Drosophila melanogaster: one gene and its partners. The protein of the gene in region 2 interacts with the protein of the main gene of each other region in a pairwise test. Each region holds a gene or a part of one and is shown on either strand. Other genes may lie near its edges.

Region 1 (4,170 bases), on a different chromosome or scaffold from region 2:
CAGCACGCTTAAGCTTAAGTAGTTTTATCACCTTTTAGATATTAAATTGATTGACACCCTTAAATCGAGATTTTGTTAGATCTCCATTGTTTTGCAAAAGAGCCTCAACAAACTTTTGGCACTTTATGATGGCATGTTGCGAACTGATAATAGGCACAATGTTTTAGTTTCACAAGCTCCGTTTCGTTATGTTTTGCCGACGCGTGTCGTTCCAGAAATGAGATGATCTGAGGACTGGAGATCAGAGGGCACTCAGAGCCACAGAGCAACTGTCACAGCGAATCTACGGATCCGCAAGTCCGACCAATGGATTAAATGACGGCCGACTGAAAGAACATTTTTCCAACTAAACAAAACTTGTGAACAGAAAGCGGTGAGCTGTAAGTGACACACACATACATGTTCAGGAAGAGAGAAAATTACACAGTGCACATCGACGATGCTCTCACAGATACTGTTACCGAAAGATACAACTTGCGGCTGTGCCGCGGAAAAAGTTCAATTGAAATGATTCGTAAATTGAAAGCGAAGCGGAAGATAAGTGCGATAAGCTCATCTTATCAACGAAATCAGAAGGCAGAGACACTTCTCAATGCAAGCGACCTTGAGTCGAAGTCGGGGAAGGGGTGGCGCCTGCTTGATATTCTGTGGGCCCCCGTGTGGTGTCGCAATATCGATAGGTTAGCCCAGAGAGTTCTGATTTATCAGATACGACTGTCACTGAATCTCCCTGTTTAAATAGACAGCGCAAACAATGGCTTTCGTTTGTATTTTGGCTCGGATTCGAGTACAAGGTGTCGTATACGTAATATCTCAGTGTTTACCATCGACTCACGCGCATTTTGGCTGCATTGTGCAAACATAAATAATAAATAAATTGTGACGTTAATAACAAATATATATGTCCATACAAGCATCGCTGTGCAGTCAACGGTATGGTCATGCGTAGTTAATTTTGACGGCATTAAGCCAATTAAAAGCGTTCACTGCCACCATAAATCTTGGGCTATTGTAATGGCCTCACTTGAACCTATTTAAATTTATTGAAATTCTAAAAAATCCGATAATACTGGAAATTTTGAACAACGCTATAGGGCCAAGAACTGGAACTTGTCGAGCTCAGCGATGGGAACACGATAGCTGGGGTCGCTCACAAGCAGTCCGTCGATCAACTGGGTAGCCTCTGGACTCATGACACTTTCCATATCCTTGGGATACGTGGGTCCACCGCTCATGATCGCTGCATAGATCTCCTTTGAATTTTTACAGGCACTAGCAAAGGGCATTTTACCGCAGAGCATATAAAACAGAGTAACACCCAGCGACCAGGAGTCCACCTGATAATCGTATCCCGACATTGCGATCATCTCGGGTGCCATGTAGCATGGAGTGCCGCAACGGACGTACAACTTGCTGCCACGATAGTAAGTGGCCAAGTCAAAGTTCGCCACTTTGACCATTTTAAAGTTCCACTTGCCGGATGAAGAGCAAACCAGCAGATTCTCCGGCTTGATGTCCCGATGAATCACCTGAAGTTGGTGCATATGCGCCAGTGCCGATACCGTGCATCTCATCACCGATCTGGCATCTGCCTCCGACAAGATACCGCGCTTCTGAATTACTTTCTGCATGTTACAGTCCAGGTGCTCTAAAACCGTGTACATATAGCGCTCATCCTCAACCGTGTACATCAGCTCGATGATGTTTGGATGCGACTGAAGCTGTCGCAGCACCTCTGCCTCCATATAGGTATCTCCGCGGTCGTTGCTTTGAGTCTGCTTGTTCACCATCTTTACGGTGCACTTCGTCCTGTTGGCCCTGGTTTGCCCGCGATATATCAGCGTCCTTGTGTTGTGCTCAACGGGCTCTATAGTCTCTATGTAAAGCTGTATGGCCTCGGGCAGGTCGTGGGACTTCATGGACTCCAGGGTTCCACTGTCTAAATGATGTTGGCCCCAACGTTTACAAGAGTCCACCATTCGCTGGAAGTCCTTGTTGATGCTGTACTTGACACAAATTATTTCTTCGTTCTTACAGCAGCAAATCACAATGTCGGTTTCGCGGAAACAACTCAGCGATGTTAAATGCGATCCGTCAGTCCGGCGGAAGTGCGCGATTGCTGATCTCAAAAGCACATGGCGTTTTAAAGACTCGGTGACTCCTTGCAGAAGAGCCGGAAAGTCCTTGAAGTGGGCTCGAGAGATGACCAAATTAACGCCCTTGAAGTGTCTATCTCCGTTCCGCAGGAAGCACACCCGCAGAGCTTTTTTGTGAAGTGGAGGACCTACCCTCCTGGAGCCAAGAGAAGTTGATTGCTCTGACATAACGCGCTAAAACGTTAAAAATCTTGTAAAACTAATGTAGTGTAAAAAAATATACGAAAGAATGCTGAGCTTCTAAGAAAAATCTGAAATTGTGCTGTGTAACCTGGCTTAGCTTCCCAAGTTTGTGAAGGCGATTGCTTGGCCATCTCGGTTTCCATGCGGTAGAAACAGGCTTGTTTCTCTCAATGCTCTTCCGCAATTCCCTGCCCTGGAATAATTTATGATCCACTAAATTGTGAATGGCAGCGACTCGACGCGGATGAAGAGCGCCAAAGCCGTTGGAATAATTGAATAATCAGCGTTGTCGCCCAGTGTGTGTGCGACCCCCGATACTTGGATGAACTCGCAGCTGCCCCCTGACAATCCGTTGGCGGCCACTTAAATCGCGTCAAGTGCAAATTTGTAGTCCATCAGAGTGCCACATGGGGATCCTGAGGTGTAATTTGTTTTAAAATTCACGCAACGGCTATTTCTGTAATAGTCAACAAATCGATTCGGTTGACTTTCTCAATTAACCACCTGTTGAGAAATTTGTATATTTATTGCTAAAATGATGCGAAGTTGGACGTCAGGCCACTGGTTTTTATCTGGATCACGTTTGATTTATGCACAGCATTTTGCTTCTCAGGGCATATATCTCATATACATAACGATTTTATTGGATTATTTATAGGCGTCAGATTATGAATTTCAGCAATGCGTTTTCTCACAAGTCTTTTCTTCTATTCTTTTATTTCTATAGTCTATTTTTTTCGTGCACGCCCTAAAAGTAAACTCACAAAAATTCAGGAAAAATTTTATTTTCCTTCTTAAAACTTTTAATAATGCTAACATTTGTCCTGTTCTAAATATTCTAAATTGTAATTTGAAATTACCTCCCCTTCGTGGTAATTGCATGTATTCTTTCAGCATTCTTTCTCCCCATCCTGATAACTAAGGAAGTCGGTCTTTGTTATCCTGATTTTTAAGGATAAGTATTGATATGTAAAATCGGGATAGCATACATATAAAAGAATGTGTAGAATGCAATGGGTTCTTGTATCGGCTAACTTTTTTGATAGATTGTACATAACTCTGATTTTTTACATGTTTGTATTCTACATGTATAAGGAATGTAAGTTACAAGTTGATTGTGTATTAGAATTTATAAATTTACGTGAACTTACGTTGGATTAATTTTGAGAGACGATAACTACGCTTGTTGAAATTGTAACTTCCCCAAATTAAAATAATTTACAACAAATTCAAAGACAACAGCTAAAATATAATATGTTTAATTTACATTAACATCGTGTTTTGGATGTTTGCATTAGATAGACTCTGACTATTTACACCTGGTTATTGTGGATACACGTGTAGTAAGGAAAGGCATCTCAACGTTGGGTTATGAAAGTGAATAGGTGTTGGTGTGAATAAATGCTGGAACACTTACAAAATAGTTGCTAACAATATAGCTAAAAATATAGCTAACAATTTCTACGAGCTACGAAAATTGTACAATGAATTTTGCATTTAAATATTCTGGGTTTCGTGCGATCTTTCACAAAATGGCAATACGAAAATAGAGTGTGTGAGGGTGAGTGTGTGTGGTGTGTGTGTGTGTGGTTTTGTGAGGGTATTTGGATGTCTTTTTACATGGCAGCCCCATTGTAATGCTGATACATCTCATCCCAGAATCTCTGACGCTCCGGCTCGGGATTGGTTTTCATCGCCAGATTGGCTGAGATATCCATATAGTTGAGACTGTTCATCACATTGGTGGGATCGATTGGTGCCCACTTGGTGGTCAGCATAGGATCCTCGGAATCAGGCGTAGGAGAGCTGTAATTAGCATTGGTTAAATTTT
Region 2 (4,645 bases):
CTTCAAGATTTTATAATGCAAAAAAAAAAAACAAAATATTTTCAAGATTAAACTGCACTGATTGGTTTAAATAGCCCATTTTTATACCTGTTACTCGTAGAGTAAAAGGGTATACTAAATTCGTTGAAAAGTATGTAACAGGCAGAAGAAGCAGCGTTTCCGATCCAGCCGAGTCGATCTGGCCATAGATATTAGAGTCTTTAATCTTATATATCTTACGAACTAAAGCATACAGATTCTAGACGACATAGACAATTTTTTTGACCCATGTTACCACGCCAATTTCAACACAAACAAGCTGTAGAAGAAGCGTTTCCGAACATCCAGCCGAGTCGATCTGGCCAAAGCTATTAGTGTCTTTGATCCGGCCATGGATATCTAGACACCTCACGAACTATAAAAGCTAGAAGATTAAGATTAAGCATACAGATTCTAGAGACATAGACGCAGCGCAAGTTTGTTGGCCGATGTTGCCAAGCCAATTTTGACGCAAACAAACTGGCCAAAACTGTCCACACTTTTGAAATATGTTTTGATATTTTTATTAGTCTTGTAAATTTCTATCGATTTGCCAAAAAAAATTTTGGCCACTCGCACTCTAACGCAATAAAACCACCCAAAACGGCCTCGACCACATTTTTAAAAAACTTTCGATATTTTTTCATAGTTTTATATTTTGTCGAATTCTTTCTCGAATTCCACGAGAATCAGATACCATTTACTCAGCAGGAAGTGTGAAAGATTTCAATAAGAATAACCAATTTTTTAAGAATGTTCGGCATGTTTGAGCGATTTTGGGTGGGGGGTTTTGGGGATTTTGGGTTACAAGACTAATAAAAATATTTTAAAATATCAAAAGTTTTCTCTCCGTAAATACCTCTGGAAGCTGCATGTCTAATCTCAATTCTCTACCTTTAATAGTTCTCTTCATACGGACATAGAATCTGCATGTCTAATCTCAATTCCCTACCTTTAATAGTTCCTGAGACCGAGGCGTTCATACGGACATGCCCAGATCAACTCGGATATTGGTCCTGATCAGGAATATATATTCTTTCTAAGGTCGGAAACGCTTCTGCTAACAGTTACGTAGTTTTCAACAAATCTGGTGGCTATTAAAAACTGAATTAACATAAATGAGTACGAATCAAAAATATGTTTATTTGATTGAATTCTGGTAATGGTATTGAGGCATACTAATAAAAAAACGAACATATATTTTCCCGAATAAGTAAGTTAAAAATATATTTTTATTAGTTATCCGATCACTAATTTTTAAAAATACAACTAAGGCAAGTGCAGTTTTCTCACCAACACATAAAACGTGGACATTTTAAATTTACAACAAAGTTCCAAACGAGTTTATATACATTTACAAGTTTATTTAAAATCTAGTTTTCAGCATACGAGAACAGCAATTCCTATCTTACAATATAAGGAATATTTTTATTTTTTAGCCAATTCAGCTGATAGCCAATCAAGTCCTTCATAAAGACCGTGCCCTTGGGTAGCACATGTAGACTGAATAAACCACTAAAAATGGGTAGATATAAGTAAACATTTTTGGGACAATTACCCCTAAGACATACGTGGCGATTCCTTAATTGGTTAAGGCGCAACTTGTCCGTAAGCTCGGCAGCTGTCATTGCATTCGGTAGGTCCTGTTTGTTGGCAAAAACCAAAAGTACCGCGTCCCTAAGTTCATCCTCCTGGAGCTGTGGGAAAAATAAACATGGAATTGGTTGACACGTATGTATATACTTTTAATTAAATAAAATGAGTACCATGTTCTGTAGTTCTCTTTCAGCTTCAGTTATACGATCGCGGTCGTTGGAATCCACTACAAATATAAGACCCTGTGTATTTTGGAAATAGTGTCGCCACAACGGGCGAATTTTGTCTTGGCCACCAACATCCCAAACGGTAAAACATATATTCTTATATTCCACAGTCTCGACATTGAAGCCTATGGTTGGTATGGTGGTTACAATTTCACCCAGCTTTAATTTGTACAGAATAGTCGTTTTTCCAGCAGCATCCAAGCCAACTGCGTACAAAAATATTTAAAATTATGTGCACGTTGATTGCAAGTACTTAAAAATTATGCGCGAACTAAAGGCTTATATTTAGTGTATCGTATTTTGAACATACCCATAAGAATACGCATTTGTTTTTTTCCAAACAAACGTGTCAAAAGACTAGATATTGTTAGTCCCATGTTTAATAAGAAACTATTTTATTTCGTATAGGAAAAAGCTTGTCTTCAGTAACTTCAGTAAATTGACGTGTAAACTAGTCATTCGATTAATAATGCTGTACTTTTCAGAAAAGTTAAACGATGGTTAAAAATACTGTTTTCTATAAAATACTAATAACAGTATGTTGACTATACCCTAAGCATGGTCTGATGAAAACAATAAAAAGAAACACAAAACTACATCGATAATACAATGTTTTGACTGCGCCATTAAGTCGAATGTCGATAAAACCATTTTCGTGTACATTTTTTAAGTGAAATATTTAAATTGACCTAGAAAGGCTGCCCCCAAGGGGTTAGTGAGCATATAACTTAGACTCGGAGTTACACAATTTTTAAAAATCACAACTGTTTTTTACGAATGTGCTCTGTAGGACTATGGTATTATTCGCGAATTCTAATTGCCAAAACAACTTTTTCAAATCAAATTTAAAAATCAAATTTAAAAACGATGTTACAAATTTTTCAAACACTATAAAGCTGCCTGAAAACAAAAAACTTAGGTTCTTCCTCTCTATTAACCAAAAATTAAGACATTTTTATTAATCAAAGGTCTGCTATTGCCAATATGTCGATATCAGGCCAAGATAAATGACAATCACTATATTTTGGTTGCGATTTGCAATAGTTAACAACATAAATATTCTGCCTCTGATCAAAAATAAAAAAAAAATGTTGAGTCTTGGGATATCAAGGAATCAAAATATCTATATATGAAAATATCCTACCCAAAAATTCCAGTCATTTGTAAATCAAAACAGCGTAAGCACCCCTTAACTTTCCTTTTAAACAAACCATGGTATCACTTAAAATTCGATTAAAATGTTAGAGCATAGTCTCCACAGGGCCTTATATGTTGTTTTTTTTAATCACTTTTCAAGTATTAACCACTTCCACACAAGGATCTGAAAATGTCGGATAAACGTTTCCAGTGTATTGACTTCTGTATTTAAACTTACAACTAGTTTTTCAAACGTCACAAGTAATTATTTTGCTGACAAAAGTAAGAAACTATGTAATGAAACAAAAAAAATTATTTTCTGAGATTTTGTTAATGTGCCCCGTCTAATTAACTTGTACTATTTCATATTTGAGTCGATTTAAATCTATGCATATGTAAAAGTTATAATCAAAGTATTTAGGTTACGCATGATTCCCTTCGGATAGGTTCGCTATTCGTTCAGTTAGGCAATCCAAGTTCATTACAGAATGTGTATCTCTTGGATACAACACATACACAAGATTTTCTCATCCATGCATATTCATATATACTAATGTAATACATATATGTAATCCAACAATCAGTTTCACTGTGGTACATTTTATAATGTTTAATCATATATAGTCACGGGAACTAGAGTTTATACACGGTCCTCGAATAAAATGTGTTTTGGAGCTGTAAGCTAATCAACAAAAAATGAGACTAACTAAAAAAAAGTGCTACTAAAATTCCCAGACTTTCCACTTTCTGTCCTACATATATATAATTAAAGAAAATCCGAACCAATTTGAATAACTTATCTATTTTATTCTAACACCAACAACAACTTTAAAAAGTTTTTGATTTAACGTAAAAAATTGGCCGTAATTCTTGTTGCTTTGGTTACATTCTTTCTATTGTATTGTACCAACGAAAAAAGTAGAGAAGCACCGAGACGGTAGTGGAATTATTCCGGAACACTTTCGATACTCTTTTTCGAGTGGAAGTGGTTTCATGAGGAGGAAATTTGGTGTTCCTTTTTGCCGGGCTCTTTCATACTTCCCGTGCTGTAGGAACTCCGTGAAAAGCTTCTGTAAGCATTCCCTAAATGTCTTCTGGATATATTCCGAGACTATATTACAATACTTTCGTAAACATTACTCAGGATTGTTTTCTAGATACTTTCCAGAATAAATTATCAGGAAAATTTATATTGAGTGCTTTGAAAGAAGAAGTGTTTCCAAAGTATAAAACAAAATCTCGGCTTAACCAATATTTAATTTTTTATTATTATGAACTGAACTCTGTAATACTTCTTTTCCTTGAACGTTTCTTTTTCTCTCAAAATTCATTCATTGTTTATCCTTTCATAAGAGCCCTTGAAGCGCAAGACTGTGTAATCTTAAAAAAATGTTCAGAAATAAATATAATTTTATGTGTCTGCAAAAAATTTATTAAGCAACAAAAAAATTTGTCGAATTTCGTTTTCGCGTTTTCAACATATTGTATAAAAACTGCGAAAGGGTGTAGGGCCTACACACGACAAAACTTTGTCTTATTTTACCACGTATTAGAAAGAAAAACTACTCTAAAGTCGAATGTGTCATCACAGAGTATAAAATTGCAATGTATTATATTATTATTATTTTTATCTTAAAGAACGGAAAATAAACATCTACTAGGTACAT
Region 3 (3,604 bases), on a different chromosome or scaffold from region 2:
TTACAATTTTGAGTGTGTGCTGCTTGTCCTTGCGTGCCTGGAATTTCAGAAAAAATAAACGCTTTGCGTGTTGCTCTTCTGATGTCGTTTAACCATTATGTGGCATGAATTTGCCATTTTCATTTAAATGCTGCTCTTGGCAGCGAGTCAACTCGTTGGCTTTTTAGCGACTGTTCTGCATTCATAAGCAGCAATCGTATATATCCTGCGGAATGTACTGAAATTGTTGTTGGATTTAGGTCTAAATGTATACAAAACTAGTATTCTTATTTGTTAAGCCCTGAATAAATTTAATTTTTAAATTGCATAAATTGCAGTGCAGTGAAATCATCTGTAATACCCATAGTACCAAAAACCTTATTTTTGTGAATGATTTTGTGTTGCGTACAAAACCTAGATTTCACGCTGATCATTTCCATTCCTAAGTTTTGAAAACAGCAGAGGTGCCATCACCAGTGACGAACCAGATTATGCTCATGCTGGTGCCATCGAAATTGATAGTGGAAATATGTGTGCTGAATGGGATATTTAAGCGCGCCTATCAAACACGCGCACAATAAATCTTCGTCACGGGCCCAAATTGACATTTTACAGCCAAAAACCAGAAACCAAAGCCACGCAGAGGACAAAGTAAGTTCCACTAGTCCGTGTTCCAGCTGCTTTTTTGCTCCTGCGGCTGCCGCTGTTTCGAAAGCCACTGATATTGTTGTCAACGATGATGGCCCAAGGCATCAGCCACATGTGTGGGAGCCAGAGCTCGTCCCTCCTCAAAGTGCCCTCGCACATGGTTGGCAAAGCCAAACCTTTATTGCCACAGCTCCATGGAGCAACAGCGAAAATTTAATATCTGGCTGGGGCGTGGCTCCATTGGAGCTGGTCCGTTGTTGCTGGCGATCAGAACTCATCGCATTATCCTTTGGCCTGGTGGCGGTTACTCGCTCAAAATAATTGCACACTGCACCCCCAATAAGTCTGTTCGCCCGTTTGATACAGAGAAATTTCTATTCGCATTTCCCAAACAAAAGTGGTGTACAAAAATAAAACTGCATATAAGTTTTAAAACATACGCCATACAAAATATATTAAAAAATGTCCGAAAAAATATTGTGCTTTTCCTCGTTCTGGTTTTCAGTGTCTCTGTGAAGTCATCTGTCAGTACCCTAATGCAAAAAGCATGAAACCTCAGGCCAGCTGTCAACACAACAAGCAAATTGCCGCGGAAGCATCAGTTTTGAGGCAACTAGACTTTTTTGATATGGAAAAACCCCTATCAGTAAGAGTCACTAGAACTATAGGTTTATTTTTAAAAATAATCAGCTCCTTTAACACAAAGTTAGACTTCTAAGTAGACAAACAAAATTTAACCCTCGTCTAATTTGTGTTTCTTTTGAGATTGGTTTTGATACTCAGCTTTCCATGCATTATGTCCGAATCTAAAGTCAACTTCATATTTTAGTAGATTTTTGGAACGATACTCATGTACAAATGATACAAACTGCATGAGAAGTGCACGGACTAAAAACTGTATTAATTAAGGGATCCTCCATACGCTTTATAGGTACACCAAACTAATTACAATTTAAGTAACTTTTAAATTACGTCACCAGAATTTCGAGGTCTTTAAAGCAATCAGAATCCTAGATAAGTTTGTCAAAGTTTTCGTGCTATAGTTATTCTCAAAAAAACATGTTTTTGGTGAACATATTGATTGTTTTGGCTCTATGTTTGGTATAATTAAATATTTAGTAATTTTAAATGAAATCTGATTTATTCTCCTGTATTCTAGTTGGTGTTGGTTATAGCTGATCTTCAGGAGGACCATCTAAATGAACACAATCGGTTGAGGGAGAAGCATGGAAGTCCGCCTCTGACCTTGGACGATGAACTCACAAAGGGATGCGAAGAATATGCTAAAGTATTTCGTTGGTTAATAACAATGTTACCTTTTTACACTTTTAATACCCTCGAACAGGTGCTAGCCAATAATGAAAAGTTAGAGCATTCAAGTTCTGCCGGTCAAAACTATGGTGAAAACTTGTGCATGCGGTCACAAACCCCTCTGCAATGTGTTCAAGACTGGTACGACGAAATCGCGGACTACGACTTTGAAAAGCCACAGTTTGCAATGTCAACGGGTCATTTCACCGCCCTCGTTTGGAAGAATGCGAAAAAAATGGGTATTGGGCAAGCCAAGGACAAAAAGGGTTACTACTGGGTGGTAGCAAGATATTATCCACCAGTCAATGTGAACGGGCAGTTCGAAGAAAATGTTCTTCCGCCGATCAAAGGGTAAGCAAATTAATTACATCTGTAGTTTTTTCTTTCATTTTATTTCATTGCAGGGAAGGTGATGAAAATGGTCAAGGCAATTTGAATAGATTTCAAGTTGACAATATTCCCATCATAGTCATGCTTTGGTTATGCTGGCAATTCACAAATTGAGGGTCATTATCACTTTGAAGTTTTTGTGCCGCAGTTCTTGTAAATTTGTAGTTAAGCAATTTGAAAAACCAATTACTGATATTTGAAACTACTCTGTACCCAATAATAAATTTCACTTTTTGGAAGTTTGGTGAATATGCCATTGTTAGTTATGTAAAACCATTCTATCTAGTTGCTTGCAACTTGTAGTTCACCAGGAAGATATTAAAACAGCACACGATATTTAATGATCGAAACTGGGGAGTGCTGCCTTAACACTGGGGTGTTTGGCATTTACAAAAACTATTTAAATGCATGAAATATTTTGAATTAAAAAAAAGAGAGAATGTTATAGTCGAGTTCCCCGACTATCTAATACCCGTTACTCAGCTGCTGGCAGTGAGAACGTGATATTTCATAATTTTCTGGCATATCGATAGATATTGGAGAATTTAATGGGAAGGCGTGGCTGCATGGATGAACAAACTTGTGCTTTAGAATCTGTATGCTTTATCTTAACCTTATAGCTTATATAATTCCTGAAATTTCGACGGTCATACGAACGACCAGACAGACGGACATGATCCTGATCAAGAATAAATATACTTTATACGGTCAGAAACTCTTCCTTCTACATACTTCCTTGACATACTTTTTAACGAATCTAGTGTATTCTACTTAATTCTACGAGTAACGGGTATAAAATGTGTTAAAATTTATATTATTTGAAACAGCTATTACTACAGCTATAGAAATCCAATCTAAGACGACACAGCACTGGTGGGCGTGTGAGTATGTTGGGTTAATTTGAATTCGTGCGATAGGGATATTCAGTTTTTTTTTTTCACTAGGCGCGGGTTGTTCTGGCCTTTTTCTTTCCGCATTTATTTTTATCTTTTTTGGCAATCAGCATCAGCCGAAAGGAATTCCCCATTGACTATGCCGGTGTCAACAAAGTGGCGGAAAAGAATTAGGTATACTGTCTCGGTTGGCTGTTTATACCCTTCTACTATCTCAATCCTTAACAAGTTTTAGATGGCTTAATATATTTATAAAATTATATAAATTGTAATCATTTTTATGAATTATATCACATTACTTTACCACTAAGTCAAAATGGGTGACTTATGCACCTTTTGGGGTGGTACCTACCACGTACTGGGTATCTATAAGTCGGTGCAAT

What was found.
Region 1: the proteins of Arf4 (region 2) and CG10177 interact in a two-hybrid assay, tested with the Drosophila melanogaster proteins (one large-scale study listed by BioGRID).
Region 3: the proteins of Arf4 (region 2) and CG31482 interact in a two-hybrid assay, tested with the Drosophila melanogaster proteins (one large-scale study listed by BioGRID).

What each region holds. Positions count from the first base shown.
Region 1 is NT_033777.3:23,519,120-23,523,289, forward strand, and holds CG10177 (uncharacterized protein), read right to left. Parts: upstream 2,465-4,170; 5' UTR 2,325-2,464; coding exon 1,089-2,324; 3' UTR 1,027-1,088; downstream 1-1,026. Other genes in the region: CG10175 (uncharacterized protein), read right to left, coding at 3,956-4,145.
Region 2 is NC_004353.4:1,121,838-1,126,482, reverse strand, and holds Arf4 (ADP ribosylation factor 4), read right to left. Parts: upstream 2,317-4,645; 5' UTR 2,219-2,316; coding exon 2,152-2,218; intron 2,048-2,151; coding exon 1,785-2,047; intron 1,716-1,784; coding exon 1,590-1,715; intron 1,534-1,589; coding exon 1,447-1,533; 3' UTR 1,158-1,446; downstream 1-1,157. UniProt on the Drosophila melanogaster protein: GTP-binding protein involved in protein trafficking; may modulate vesicle budding and uncoating within the Golgi apparatus.
Region 3 is NT_033777.3:6,599,624-6,603,227, forward strand, and holds CG31482 (uncharacterized protein), read left to right. Parts: upstream 1-1,618; 5' UTR 1,619-1,686; coding exon 1,687-1,728; intron 1,729-1,786; coding exon 1,787-1,915; intron 1,916-1,972; coding exon 1,973-2,289; intron 2,290-2,342; coding exon 2,343-2,442; 3' UTR 2,443-2,578; downstream 2,579-3,604.